2 linked regions of the Mytilus edulis genome follow. The protein of the gene in region 2 purifies or fractionates together with the protein of the main gene of each other region. This does not show direct contact. Links are inferred from orthologs where the notes say so. Each region holds a gene or a part of one and is shown on either strand. Other genes may lie near its edges.

Region 1 (7,586 bases), about 49 Mb from region 2:
AAATATTTTTTTAAATTGTATCAATTTGAAATACTGCAATTTGTATGATTTTGGGAAAGGGGTGCACAAGAAGGAAGGATGGGTTTGTATTCAAATTCTAAAAAAAAATCATTACTTTTTTAAAAGGTATAATAAAGTTCTGATGTTGTCTTTATTATTCCCCTGCTTAGAGAAGCATGATTTAGTGATGTTTTTTTCAGTTGTTTCATTCATTTGCTTGTATGATCATTCATGGATGTGCTCATTACAAATTGTCTGCCATTTTAAGAAGACTCATCTTTAAGGAATGACTGGGTTCCTATTAATCCAGCAAGTATCTTATATTTTATTCATCCAATTGTCTTCCTGTATTTAAAAGATACTTTATAAAATTATATGTCTATTAATTTCAATTAGTTTATTCCTATCTGAAACTGTTTCTGACAAAAAAGAAAACATGATATAAGTATGTTGACCACACATCTTTGTTCTGACTTTCTTGAAATATACACTGTTCTTACCATGCTTAAGTTTTATATTTTGATGGTGAAGTCAAGTTTGCACGAAAAATATATGTCTTTAGATATTTTCTGTCTATAATATTGTTTTATTTATTATAGAATGTGTGTATCTGATAGCCTTATGTCATCAATAAAATTCTGTGTCATGGTTCAATTTGTTATTGGATGTCCGTCCATAAAATACTTATTTATTTTTTAATATGTATAATGATAGAATGTTTAACAAAGAAATTGTTATAGCCCTTGATTGTCTTTTATATTAAACCCCACTCAATTTGCAATCACCTTGTTCCTCTGTTTGACCAGAAAATATGTTTGATATGTCTGTACAATGACTACATAATTATTGGAATTGGTAAACATAACAAACTGTTCAATTTGAAAGACATGTTTTTCCACAGAGCTTTCGATATGCATTATCAAGGCATATCATTGGTTCTTGGCACAGCTGTTTGTTTGGATGTGTTAGACACACCCTTTTTGTTGACCTATATTCAATGTGATAAATGAATTAAAATATTTTGTCATACATTTCTTTGTTGAGCAACAGGCATTTCTCATTTGCTTATTGTATCTGTCAGAAAACTATCTGCTTGTTCTTTTTTGATACTCTGAACTACAATAGGAGTATAGCTAGCACAACAAGATTTGCAACCTTTTGTTTATTTTTTTTAGTTTAATGTTTGTACTTGAAATCTGTTACATTTGTGACAGAGTGACTGCCCATGATTATATGTATTTCTTAACTTAGGTTATATATATGATGTTTTATATTTATATATATTTGTATATTTTGATTACTGCTGAACAACATACTGCTGAATAATCTTAATATGACCTTGGTTAACTCGAGGGCTAAAAGTTATCCATGTGTATTTAAATTTACAAAACAAAGAGCAAGGGGATCATATCAAAATGCTTTAAATGAAATATACTATGTTTTCCTCAAAAAGTGAAAATCTATATGCATTGATTTTATAATTTTCATTATCACTATTTTGGGAGTATGGTATTCAGGCTTGCTTTGATGTCTTTTTAGATGTGTTTTGCAGAGTTACAGGTCTTTTATTGTCAAGAAATTAGAAAATATTTTATTTTCGTTAATACCAGCTTTCTTAAATTAAAAAAAAAAATGGAATCGTCCTGGATACAGGATTATGTTGTTTTCTAAAATTCTCGTTAATGTCAATCTCAAAATCCATATAACTGTTAGTACCACAGATATGATTTTATGCTATTAATTTAACATTTTGTGTATTGTAATTGTGAACTTCAGTTGTAGTGCTTTAAACAAATGTGTATTAATCTTTCTGTTTTTGTGCCAATAATACTTATCAAACATGTTAAAAACATTCTCTTATAATTCAACTTGTAGAAAATTGGTTAAACCTTAAATATGTTGTCTGACCCGAAGTGATATTATATTGTAAACAATATTACTGAAAGACTAATAAATGTGATATTTTATTTCTATAATATTTATTTGATTTATTGCTTTAAATGATTAAAGAATTATTTTAATGAATTATTTACAATAAATGATATTTTAAGATAAATTTGACTTTGTTTAAATCAATTTGTATAACAGCTACAAAAGTAAAGATGAAATAAGCTCACAGTATAATTGCAAAGATGAAAAGAAACCAATTAAAAAAGATCAGTTAAAGAAGAAACATTACTACACGGACAATACCATAGCCAGTAGAAAAAAGACAAAAACACTAGAGTGGGGGGCCCATATTCGCCGGGGACACAATTTCACCGTTTTATGATTTTGAGGTGTTAACACTTCACATGATGGCTGAAATGGAAGAATTATGCCGATAAATTATAATTTTATAACAAATATGATTATTTTTTAAACTTAAACAAAATTACAACACTTACTGCAAAAGATAGAAAAACAGACAACGATTTTCGGTCAATTTCCTGAATGAAAAACAGGATTTTCAAAGATTTTTTTCTTAGCATTTTTTTGACTGATTGGCCTAAATTTCTGTTTTTTTACACCTTTGAAATGTCTGCTGTTCATCTATAATGAAATTTATATGATGAATATTATATAAAGCTGCAGTTTTTTGGTTTTAAATAGATGTGTAAAAACGGCGAATATGTGTCCCCCATTGACAAAACTTCAGGAAATTTCAAACACCTTTTAATCTAACTTTACAGATGATTATTTTCAAACAAACATGTTTTCAAGCTTAGGAATGTTTTGCATTTGAAGTTATCTTCATATAGAAATATCAGTATACTTCAAAAACATATAGACCTGAACATAAACTGTAGAAAACATCGAAAGATATGGCGAAAATGAGCACCCCACTCTATCATAAACAAAACTTTACACAGAAACATAAATAACATTATAGGCAGTAAAAGCTAGACAAATACACAGTCAGCCATAAGAATTCATTACAACAAATTGCTTTTGGTATTCATAAAGGTTTTAAAGACATTACTTCACCATTATCTTTAAAACATCTTTTACATTTCTCTATACGCATTAACTCTTTATCAACAAATGTCACTTTCACTATATACAATAACCTTACATCAATTATAAAGCTATTAAGTTCATAAATTGTCCTTAATTTTTTTTTAAGCTTAATACATATTTTCTTATGACAAAGACTGTAAAGAGGCTGTTGTTGATCATTAATTTTGTCTGGTGTTGCTGATAAACAACTTGCCAATTTGTAGTTTGAAGCAAAATAAAAATATTATGTAGTCTTTCAAAAGTAAATTTTTGTCTTGGCATTTGAAAAAGATCCTGTGTTCCTGTTTATGATGTTGCTGTCCTTTGAGCCTGCCTTCATTATCTAATTACTAATGATTAAGAGCATGGCATAGCGTAACGACACCAGTCTATTGAAAATAGGAAGGTAGCTAGGGGGATTTAAGAGGGCAGGTGGCCTGGCCCCCTTATGGAGGTTCATGATTATATAATAAATGTATAAACCTTTTCAAAATTATCACTCCATACATTGGCTTTGTAAGCCTGCTCTTCCTTTTTCAAAATCCAAAATCCACCCCTGGTAGCAAACATTTGAATTTTCTGTAAGCAAATATTTCAATTTTTATGAGATGTTTAAAAACTTTATTCATTAAAATTTACTGGACTAATACATAACAGTATATTTGGGTGAAATGCACTAATTTTTCAAAGAATATTGGATCGACACATTAAAAGGGCATTGGCTGTCAATTTCAAGTTCACGAATTTGACTGAAAATCTCATATTCTTTTTAACATTCTTAAACATATATCCAATTTATGAAAAGTCTAAAATAAACAATTTACAAGGCATGGGCTCAATAATATGTACCATAGTTTTGTTTGTATTTTAGTCTAGAGGCCATCTAACTATTGAAGACCTTTGAAGACATATAAGCAATATAAACATATATTTAGATATAAATAGAAAGTGAACTCGTCACAATTGGATTTTTGTATGTCTGTTTAATTTCACATTGAAGTTTAAGAAAATGTGTTAATCATAATTTTTACCTGTATAAAAATGAGTTTTGGGGGATGGAATCAGTCAAACAAATAGTTTACCTTAGTTTCACTTTCAATGTTGACATTCTTTTCCTTTTTATAACTAACATGCATAATTCATAGTGATCCATCTCTTTCTATGGTGTTAATTGATGGTCACACAAATCTGAGACTTCTATAACACATAGTAGTCTCAGCATGAATACAAATACAATGAGCTCGAATTTTTCACTTGCAAGTGAATAACTCATCATGATGTTTCTTAGTTTATTTTTACCAAATTGAACCATACTGAGTGATAAAGGCAAATTATTATTTCAAAATTTCACATTGACATAAGTTGGGGGATTTTTTTTTTTATATATGTATACATCTTGCAGCATCTTACTTAAATGCTATCAACTAAATTACCATTTTCAATGCCTCTCATTTGGGGGCGTCATCCTGGACCACTGAAATTCACTTTAGCATCTCTTATATGAAAAAATGTTTTAAAGAAATCATATAATAAAGGAAAAGGGAGATAACATTTTTTTCTAGGCCATTCTTGTGCGTTGCATTTTATAAATTTAAATTGTCATTGGTTGTACCTTTTTCGGGTTGTCTCGGGGTTTACCATAAAATTTTATTCAGAAAGCATTTTGGCCATTGTTTATTTTGTTCCCGTACTTTATTTTTGAACGTAATTTTCTTTATTATAAAAAGGTATGTACTGTTAGAATTTGATATGACATGCATATTTGCGTTGCTCTGAACATGAATGTATGTAACGTGACGGTACCCAAATTGCACCTATTTTGACAGTTTTTTCATCTACGTTTTTTTATGATAAAGACAACAATGTCTATTCTGTGTTTATTTTGTAGCCGTATCCTTCTTTATCAAAAAGGTACACCAATTTGATTTTTATTCCATATGGAAGCATAGAAAAACTGGTCTAAACTGACCTCCAAACCAGCAATGATTCTGAAATGAGGAGTACCCAAATTGCATCCATGCTTTAATTCACATCGTCAAAAGTCTAATAACAGAGCTTTTGTTTAATTTCTTCAAATATTTCGAACAATTGGATATTAGTACCTGCTTAATCTTCATTTTTTTTTAAATGGATACTTGTAACATATTGTATTTGCTCATTTTAAAAAGATGACGTCGCAGTACATTTTGCTTTTTCAGTAAACACTTTATCTGTTGATAAATACTGTGAACGTTTTGGGCATATCTTAAAAGTTTTACCCTTGCTGAAAGATGTGCTTAGTATCAAATCATAAAAATACAAATTGTTTAGTCTCTATGAAATCTTGTAAGATTTCCGCTGCTATTTTTGCTAAATAGGTGCAATTTGGGTACTCGGTGCAATTTGGGTACCGTTACGTTAGGGTTTTACCCTCCTTTTATAATGAACACCACTTACTTGCTGTAAAGAAAAATATTAAACCAAAAAGTAAACCTGTTACCAAACAAAAGTGTCAAAACAAAAAACCACGATGGCCATGTGGTACATGCCTAAAAGCAGTAACCTGGAATCAAAAGGCACTATGCTGCGACAGCTGCGATACTTGGTTTCACATTAACTGTCAGAGTATTCCATCTCACATCTACGAGTGTATGAATGCTAGTAATATTAGCTGGGAATGCACAAATTGTGGAATGCCAAATTTCTCCACTAGCTTATTCAATAACCAATCAAGCATATCATTAAATTCTAGTAGTAACTGGAGTATGAGTGATACATCACTCAATAACAGCCTAGGTGCTCCTCAGGCATCTTCATCGCCTATGGTTAAGACTAAATCAAAACCGAAAGTCAAAACATCACAAAAAGCCACTACTAAAAATCAAAAACCTATCAGGATACTTAACCTAAACTTTCAATCGATACGAAATAAAAAAGAAGATCTCAATCAGTTAATTGATTCATCTAAACCTGATATAATCATAGGCACTGAAACATGGCTAGACAAAAATATATCATCATATGAATTCTTTCCATCAGAACTATTTAATGTCTATAGATCAGACAGACCACCAAAAAAAAATAACCAAAGTCATGGAGGTGTACTTATTGCTATTAATAAAGAACTTATAAGCACAGAAGTAAGCGAACTTAAAACTGACTGTGAAATAGTTTGGTCTCAAATAAACATGACTGGTAGTAAGAACTTGTTAATAGGTGCATATTACAGACCACCATCAGATAAAGGAACATCTTTACAACAACTAGAACTATCACTTAGTAGAATCAACCAATCATCAAATACTAATATCATGATTGGTGGTGACTTTAACCTAGGTCATATTGACTGGTCTATACCTCAGGTCATACCGGGTAAACCGGACGCTGAACATCATAATAAACTTTTAGAATTACTAGAAAATTTTAACCTTCAACGAATAGTTAATACACCAACTAGAAAAGAAAGAATATTAGACTTAATCCTAGTTAACAATCCAACAACTGTTAACAAAGTAAACACACTTCCACCACTAGGACTAAGTGACCATGACATCGTCTACATAGAAATTGACACTTGGCTTCGTAAAATCAGACAACAACCTAGAAAAATACTCAAATACGACAAAGCGAACTGGGAAAACATAGAAGCAGACCTTCAAAAAACACTCGAAGAGCTTACTGTTATGAATAACAACAACAACAGTACTATAAACGAAATGTGGGATTTATTTAAAAACAACATCACAAAATCAATAGATACAAACATCCCACATAAAATGTTAACATATAAACACCGACTTCCCTGGGTGCACAACACACTCAGAAAAATGATAAATAAAAAGAATAAATTGTACTCTAAAATGAAAAAGGACAAAAAGCATATACTTAAATATAAAAAACTTAAACAACAAGTCCAACAAGAACAGAGACGTGCCTATTGTACATACATAGAAAAAATGATCCTTGACCTTCCAACAAATGACCCTGACCAAAGTTACAGCAACCAATCAAAACCGAAAAAACTCTTTTCTTACATTAAATCCATCAGAACTGACAATAGTGGAGTTGCTCCCCTGAAAAAAGAGGGACAATTAACAACTGATACAAAACAAAAAGCCAACATTTTAAATGAGCAATTCCAATCAGTCTTTACCACCGAAACAGCAAGTAATATGCCTGATAAAGGACCAAGTCCTCATCCAGTCATTCCATCACTCACAATTACAACACCTGGCATACAAAAACTCTTAAACAACATCAATCCGCACAAAGCCACTGGCCCAGATAACATCAGCGGCAGAGTTCTAAAACAACTTCAAAACATAACGGCACCTATCCTCACCATTATTTTCCAGAAATCGCTTACATCTGGCTGTATACCATCTGACTGGAAACATGCAAATGTCGCACCAGCATACAAAAAAGGTGAAAAATACAACGCAGTTAACTACAGACCAATCTCTCTCACTTGTATCAGTTGCAAACTAATGGAACATGTCATAACAAAACATTTAATTAATCACTTAGAAAAAAACAATTTATTATACGACCTCCAGCACGGCTTCAGACACTCTAGATCATGTGAAACACAACTTCTATCTTTTATACAAGAACTGGCTTCAAATTCA
Region 2 (7,890 bases):
AATAGAACCATGCGATGTAACATCTCGGGTGTTTTCCTATTGTAATAATAGAACCATGCGGTCTAACTGATAACCCGAAAAACGTAATTAAGCATCATTCATGATATATATTTTTTTGTAAACAACTTTACATTTGTGAAATTTGGCTAGTACAGACGAGATCTAACTCTAATAATAATCTCATATAGTTTAGCTTGTTATTATTTCGATTAAAGAACCCCAAAGACTTTTTAGGAATATAGTTTTTGTCTCCATAAAAGACGCTTTATTGTCCTGGTAATTTTTTGGTCTTTGGCTCGTTTTGACATTTTGTAAACATGACTTCAGCGATTTGTTGTTTTGTTCAATGAATTCATGGTACTCTATACTGTTATTCTTGTCACCGTGATGACGTTTTAATAATACAAGAAGTGCAGAGGAAATGCCTGAAATGTCGTCTGATATGGAACGTCTGGAATAAGTATGGTATCGACGAAGACCCAAATTTAATATACAAAAAAAAACCATGAACATGAACAAGGCAACAGTACCAGTTTAAACATTGTAAATAAAGGTTAACTTAATTATTGTTGGGGTTGGAAGAAGTTATTGTATATTCATTGAAATTGAAATTACAAAATCACAGGAACAAAGTACCAACACCTCTTTGCCAAAATATACTGATACTTTTTTTTTTTTTTTTTTTTTACACAAGTCAATTCAAATGGCCCACTCATTTGACAACATGGCCCATTATTTTTTTAAATGGCCCATTGAATTCATTTTTGAGGGGCCCTGGGCCCATAGTAAAAAAAACCTTCCAGATCACTGCACACTGGGGGACCAGAAAAATATGTTGGATTAAGCAGATTGTTCCCAATATTATGATCAAGAGGTGTCATTTGTCTCAAATAGTATTCTTTAAAATCAATATGAGCTCTATCAACCAAATTTAAATAAGTCATTAAGTTGAGAGTTTTCCGGTAATATGAAATTATTTTGTTTTTTTTGTTTTTAACCAGTATTCGCAAGTTTTTAGATGTTTGGCATACCACATATTTATATACACCTTTGAGCGTTCCTGATGAAGGTAAATCCAGAAAAGAGCTTCGGACACGAGAAATTATCAAAAGTGTTGCTTTCAATTTTATATTTCTATTTGTCTGCAATAATACAAAATCATGAACGAACAATCGACTGCGTTTTTTTAGTTTATAATCATTGTGCTGGTTCACAGTAGTGTACTAAACTACCTACGTAGTATAAATACAAGCGGATACCAGTTAATAATATTGTTTTTGAAAAGAAATCTGTAAAAAAAATTGTATGGGGCATCACATATTGTCAGTAAATATAAGAAAATCAAAATTAATAGTGCATATCAATATGTATTAGGTAAATGATGAGTTGAAAACATGAAATGGCACCATCTACAATTTTCAATAACAAAGATGGCGGACAATAAGAAATCATAACAAAATCGAAATTTTTTTATTTTTCTAGCTTATAGTACACCCGGGCATGCAATTTTTATGTTGACGTATGATACTATTGCGGATAAATCAGTTCTGAATTTGGGGAAAACAAGCTTTGTATTTCAATACATATCTGTCGTTTACGTTTGAATAGAGAATTTCTCAAAAATCATGAGGCAACATTGGGGAATTTTACTGAAAATCGAGGGAGACATAAACTTCTCCCGGGAGCTTCTCTAGAGCAGACCTGCCAACTTTTGAAAATCTCCATGTGGGATTTAGCGCTCGACCAGATTTTTAAGGGTTACAATTTTAGCAACTTTTCTGTGTGCATTTTTTCTCTCCTAAAAGTCTTAAGTTCTCTTCTTTTTTCTTTTGGTATAATAATGATGAGCTTGAATGCCCTCATTTTTTTTTATTTGCATGATTCTTGTACTATTAAATTATAAAATTGACAAAATAACTGAAGAATAGAGAAAAATGGCATTAAAAATAAAGGATTCAAAGTAGAGACCCACCCCCCTTTTTCCCCCTCTAAAGACCTTCTTATCTATGAACCTTGAATCAAAAGACCTAAAACTACATGCCCTAAAGTTAGAAGGATGAAGACAGATTTTGATTTACTCTTTATACTTATAGTCTTATAGTCTTATCAGAGAAAATGGATAAAATTTGAGTTATCTTTCTTTGTATTCAGAGGTGCTCTTACTGGCAGAGGCTTATTCAGTAACACAGTAGAAGAGAATACAAAATGGCGTTGATTTTCAAACAGACATTCGTCGTCTGGTTTCAAAAATTAAACGGATTTCAAGATAAACGATGTTTTCTTGAGAGTTCATTACAGTTCTCAACTTTCAATTAATTATGATTTTGTTGTGGAACTACGGCAAAGTTGCAAATTGTGCTGGTATGATATAAAATTGATTAAAATTGAAAGGCTGTTTGACCAAATTTGTGTATACAAATTAATTTTGAGAACTATTACGACCCATTAGGTAATCTGATTACATACAACCAGTAATTATGACACCTGTTGTGACTGTTAATTAGCGTAGGGTCGTTAACTTGTCATAATATGTCCCCAGGTAAAATTATAGATTTTTCAAATTGATTAGAAAGACTTTAACGGTAAACAACAATTTTTTCGGGTAAAGTTGGTGAAAATCGGGATTTTGACTAATTTTACAATCCCGATATCGGGATTCGGGTTGAGGGATAAAAATCGGGATGATACCGCGAAAATCAGGATAGTTGGCAGGTCTGGCTTCTCTAGAGCGAAGTGGGGAGACCTAGAGCGACTTTGTCGCCCACTTCGCCTGGTGTGGTGACCCCTGCATAACTTAAATTACGTCACAAGTAAAATCCCTGACAACACAACCAAAATCGGAAATGACGTTATGTACGGTGTTTCCATTTCTTTTTGTAACAGATTTTGAAGTTACAAAAAAATAATTCATACAGACTTCATACCCTTTCACAGACAGGTAATGCCTGCCTCATATTACATTGCACCTACTGGTCTGATTTGAATCAACATTTGTCTGTCTATATTATGTACACTATCAAAAATGTATGGTTGCTTCCTACCTTGTGATTTTTAAGGGTTCGTATGGATAGTAAACTCAGCAAATTGTAACATACTCACAGGCACTTGTTTCTATCCATACGAAGGTTGACTATCCATATAAATAGAAGAAGGTGGCTAACGAAATTTTTTTTAGGTCACGACAATCTCCGCTTGGGACGCTTTTTCTACCCTTCAACTTAATGCTAAAAATCCCTACCTTATATGAATCGATTCAGTGAATATTTTCCTTTAACACTAAACTAATTTCATAATCCCCACAGTGTTCCTCTTCACGGTAATCTACTCTCAATTCACTAAACCATGTCCAAAAGTTCAACTACCATCTTTCCAATGTATCTACTTCCGGTTAACATCGCAGTAAATTTATTTTGTTTTCATTGACTCAGTTTCTTTCCCCTAATTCTGATACGTTTTTTACCTCCAAAATAAAAGATCGATGAAATTCTTTAGAGTTACCATATACATTCGGAATTCTCTAGTATTATCGAATTCATTCAAATTAGTTTCTGACTTTCTGATTTTTTTAATAACAACAATAAATGTACTTATTTCGGTGAAATTTCATCTTTAAAAATATATTGATAATGAAAATAATAAACTGGTAATTTGACAGAATCATTTCGTTTTTAAAAAGATAGCATTCTGCCCACAACCGGAAGTAGATACATTGGAAAGATGGTAGTTGAACTTTTGGACATGGTTTAGTGAATTGAGAGTAGATTACCGTGAAGAGGAACACTGTGGGGATTATGAAATTAGTTTAGTGTTAAAGGAAAATATTCACTGAATCGATTCATATAAGGTAGGGATTTTTAGCATTAAGTTGAAGGGTAGAAAAAGCGTCCCAAGCGGAGACTGTCGTGACCTAAAAAAAATTTCGTTAGCCACCTTCTTCTATTTATATGGATAGTCGACCTTCGTATGGATAGAAACAAGTGCCTGTGAACATACTCCTGTGTAGTATGTATAGTGTTTATTGTTTTCAGTTCTTTTTTATTTGTTTTAAAGCTTTTATGTTTGCAATTGTTTGTTTGTAGACTATAAATAAAGCTGTATGTCTGTAGTGTAAATACTAGTACAGAACTGAATTTATAGGTCATACCGAATAATGGTGAAGAACCTTCCTCTTGCTTAGGGAATGTATAAAGGTCCCTTTAGTGTAATTTCCCCAGTTTCCTTCTCCAGATACATGTGGATGTCTCGGACCACCACCTCCCATGTTGAGGGCAAAGTGGGATATATATATTCAGAGTTTCTTAAATCGTGAAGAACGACGAGCACCACTAGAGGACACAGGAAGTTGTTTTGAAATCTCTACTCAAGAAGAAAGTAAAGAAAGGTAAGAATATAGTTTTGTCAAAAAAGTGACAAATTTATGATTTCTTTATTGATTTTAAGGATAGGATTGTGATCAGTTTGCAATTTTAAGGTTTTCAGGTGTAAAAACATTTTATTCAAGACTATATCAGTACATTATTTCGGACCAATTACTGTTCGGCCTATCGAACAGAGGAACGAAACAAGAAAACATTTTAATGTTGATTTTGAAAAAATAAATTCCGTGTGTAAAATCTAAACAAACTTAGTCGCGAGTAAATTATGTTATATTATCTCTTGTCTTCATCGGCTGAAAAACGTTGGATTCATTGGTAGCAAGGTCACAGGTGGAAATATTGGAAGTGGGCCGGTACGCAATGAATATGGTACGAAATTGTCTTAGACTTTTCTAAGTCATTAATGTTCTTATTAAAACTGAAAACTGACTTTTGCAAATACAAACTTTAAATACACTGATCACAGTCAATCGAACAGAATTTCGATTGTTTACCGGTTTTCGTTATTTTAAACTTCTTATAGCAAAGTCAAAGAAAGCAAAGACATACAAAAGCAAGGAGCATGGAGGAGACATTATCAGAAGATGTTGACCCAAGTGTCGAATTTCTATACAAAACAATGTGTACGTGCATTGCAGTTGGTTCAAACTGAGACTACTACTACTGTTATAGTACTAGTCTCAGGTTCAAACAATTTGATATTTATGGGGCTAGCTAGGATGAATAAAGAAGGACAGTAGTTTTGAGTAAAAAAATGTCATGTTGAGACGCTTAGCAGCATGATAATTTGTGTATTATAATATGAGAATAAACTAACATAAAGGAAATTAGTCCGAGATTACTCTGACGTCCAACGGCTGTTTTGCCAGACAAGCTGGGGCCATGGGACGTCAGAGCTCGTCCCATATTAAAAAATGGATATTTGCACACCCAAAATAGATACGCTGCTTCGTCGCTTCAGGTGCCGATTGGGGGCCTTGGAATTATATGAATCGGCATCAATCTGTTCATTTTTCATTTATCTCTTCATTTATGTAAGTTTCACCTACCTGCCAACCTTTATTTTTCCATATTTTAACAGTTTTCACAGAGACCCATCGATTTCTGCATTCTGACTTTCACTTTCAAATGGACGTCAAAGTTACGAGAGAGTTCATGGTCTCGAGACTCAAATATGCAAATATTTATATTTTTCACCTCCTTCATAGGAGATCGATGTTTAACATTTAGGAGCCAACCACGATTTTTCACCTCCTTTACAGGAGATCGGTATTAAGCATTTAGTTCCGACCACGGTAACAGTTGGAAGCTCTCGGACACTTAGATAACTTGCATCGTAAATGAACGAGGTTTTACATTATGGTCATTTGCACTGTTTTCTCGTAGTCACGTGGTAATATTTGAAAATGAAAGTCAAAATGCAGAAATCGATGGGTCTCTGTGAAAACTGTTAAAATATGGAAAAATAAAGGTTGGCAGGTAGGTGAAACTTACATAAATGAAGAGATAAATGAAAAATGAACAGATTGATGCCCGATTTATATAATTCCAAGGCCCTCAATCTGCACCTGAAGCGATGAAGCAGCGCATCTATTTTGGGTGGGCAAATATCCACTTTTTGATATGGGACGAGCTCTGACGTCCCACGGCCCCAGCTTGTCTGTCAAAACAGCCGTTGGACGTCAGAGTAATCTCGGACTAAAAGGAAATTGGCAGGATAAAAAAATAAGAAATGCAACACATCAAAGTCATTCTAGGCATCCCTAACACAGGCACTTGTTTCTATCCATTGGAAGACCCACTATCAACGTATATTTACGAGAAGGCAGGGATCTCCATGGCCTGTTTAACGATGGCGCCCCACCATCGTTCAAATGTCTTGCGCCATCGTCAAATGACTCGCGCCATCGTTAAATTGTCTTGCACCATCGTTAAATTGTCTTCCACCATCGTTCAAACCTTCATCGTTTTTTGTAGCCCGACGCCATTTTTATACGACCTTTCGTCGTATATTGCTATCACGTTGGCGTCGGCGTCGTCGTCGTCGTCCGAATACTTTTAGTTTTCGCACTCTAACTTTAGTAAAAGTGAATGGAAATCTATGAAATTTTAACACAAGGTTTATGACCACAAAAGGAAGGTCGGTATTGATTTTGGGAGTTTTGGTCCCAACATTTTAGGAATTAGGGGCCAAAAAGGGCCCAAATAAGCATTTTCTTGGTTTTCGCACTATAACTTTAGTTTAAGTTAATAGAAATCTATGAAATTTTGACACAAGGTTTATGACCACAAAAGAACGGTTGGGATTGATTTTGGGAGTTTTGGTTTCAACAGTTTAGGAATTAGGGGCCAAAAAAAGGCCCAAATAAGCATTATTCTTGGTTTTCGCACAATTACTTTAGTTTAAGTAAATAGAAATCAATGAAATTTAAACACAATGTTAATGACTACAAAAGGAAGGTTGGTATTGATTTTGGGAGTTTAGGTCCCAACAGTTTAGGAATAAGGGGCCAAAAAGGGACCCAAATAAGCATTTTTCTTGGTTTTCGCACCATAACGTTAGTATAAGTAAATAGAAATCTATGAAATTTAAACACAAGGTTTATGACCATAAAAGGAAGGTTGGTATTGATTTTGGGAGTTTTGGTCCCAACAGAATAAGGGGCCACAGGGTCCAAAATTAAACTTTGTTTGATTTCATCAAAATTGAATAATTTGGGTTCTTTGATATGCCGAATCTAACTGTCATGACTGTGTATGTAGATTCTTAACTTTTGGTCCCGTTTTCAAATTGGTCTACATTAAGGTCCAAAGGGTCCAAAATTAAACTTAGTTTGATTTTGACAAAAAATGAATCAGTTAGGTTCTTTGATATGCTGAATCTAAAAATGTACTTAGATTCTTGATTATTGGCCCAGTTTTCAAGTTGGTCCAAATCGGGGTCCAAAATTATACTTTGTTTGATTTCATCAAAAATTGAATAAATGGGGTTCTTTGATATACCAAATCTAACTGTGTATGTAGATTCTTCATTTTTGGTCCTGTTTTCAAATTGGTCTACACTAAAGTCCAAAGGGTCCAAAATTAAACTTAGTCTGATTTTAACAAAAATTGAAATCTTGGGGTTCTTTTATATGCTGAATCCAAAAATGTACTTAGATTTTTTATTATGGGCCCAGTTTTCAAGTTGGTCCAAATCAGGATCTAAAATTATTATATTAAGTATTGTGCAATAGCAAGTCTTTTCAATTGCACAGTATTGCGCAATGGCAAGAAATATCTAATTGCACAATATTGTGAAATAGCAATTTTTTTTTTAATTAGAGTTATCTTTCTTTGTCCAGAATAGTAAGAAAGAAATATCTAATTGCAAAATATTGTGCAATAGCAAGATTTTTTTTTAATTGGAGTTATCTTTCTTTGTCCAGAATCAACTTAAATCTTTGTTATATACAATATACAATGTATATTCACTTTTTACTACCAACTGATAAATTAAAATAATCTTTACCAT

Evidence for each region. Proteins that work in one complex are often made in the same cells at the same time.
Region 1: the proteins of PHD finger protein 14-like (region 2) and high mobility group protein 20A-like purify together in Homo sapiens (affinity purification with mass spectrometry; 3 studies listed by BioGRID and IntAct, counting the BioPlex papers as one, with this or other methods). This does not show direct contact. The link is inferred for Mytilus edulis from reciprocal best matches to the Homo sapiens genes PHF14 and HMG20A.

Annotation. Positions count from the first base shown.
Region 1 is NC_092345.1:104,507,739-104,515,324, reverse strand, and holds the start of high mobility group protein 20A-like, read left to right. Parts: upstream 1-4,557; 5' UTR 4,558-4,706; intron 4,707-7,586. UniProt on the Homo sapiens protein: Plays a role in neuronal differentiation as chromatin-associated protein. Acts as inhibitor of HMG20B. Overcomes the repressive effects of the neuronal silencer REST and induces the activation of neuronal-specific genes.
Region 2 is NC_092345.1:55,178,019-55,185,908, reverse strand, and holds the start of PHD finger protein 14-like, read left to right. Parts: upstream 1-4,832; 5' UTR 4,833-4,938; coding exon 4,939-4,999; intron 5,000-7,890. Other genes in the region: uncharacterized protein, read right to left, coding at 4,145-4,261. UniProt on the Homo sapiens protein: Histone-binding protein. Binds preferentially to unmodified histone H3 but can also bind to a lesser extent to histone H3 trimethylated at 'Lys-9' (H3K9me3) as well as to histone H3 monomethylated at 'Lys-27' (H3K27ac) and trimethylated at 'Lys-27' (H3K27me3).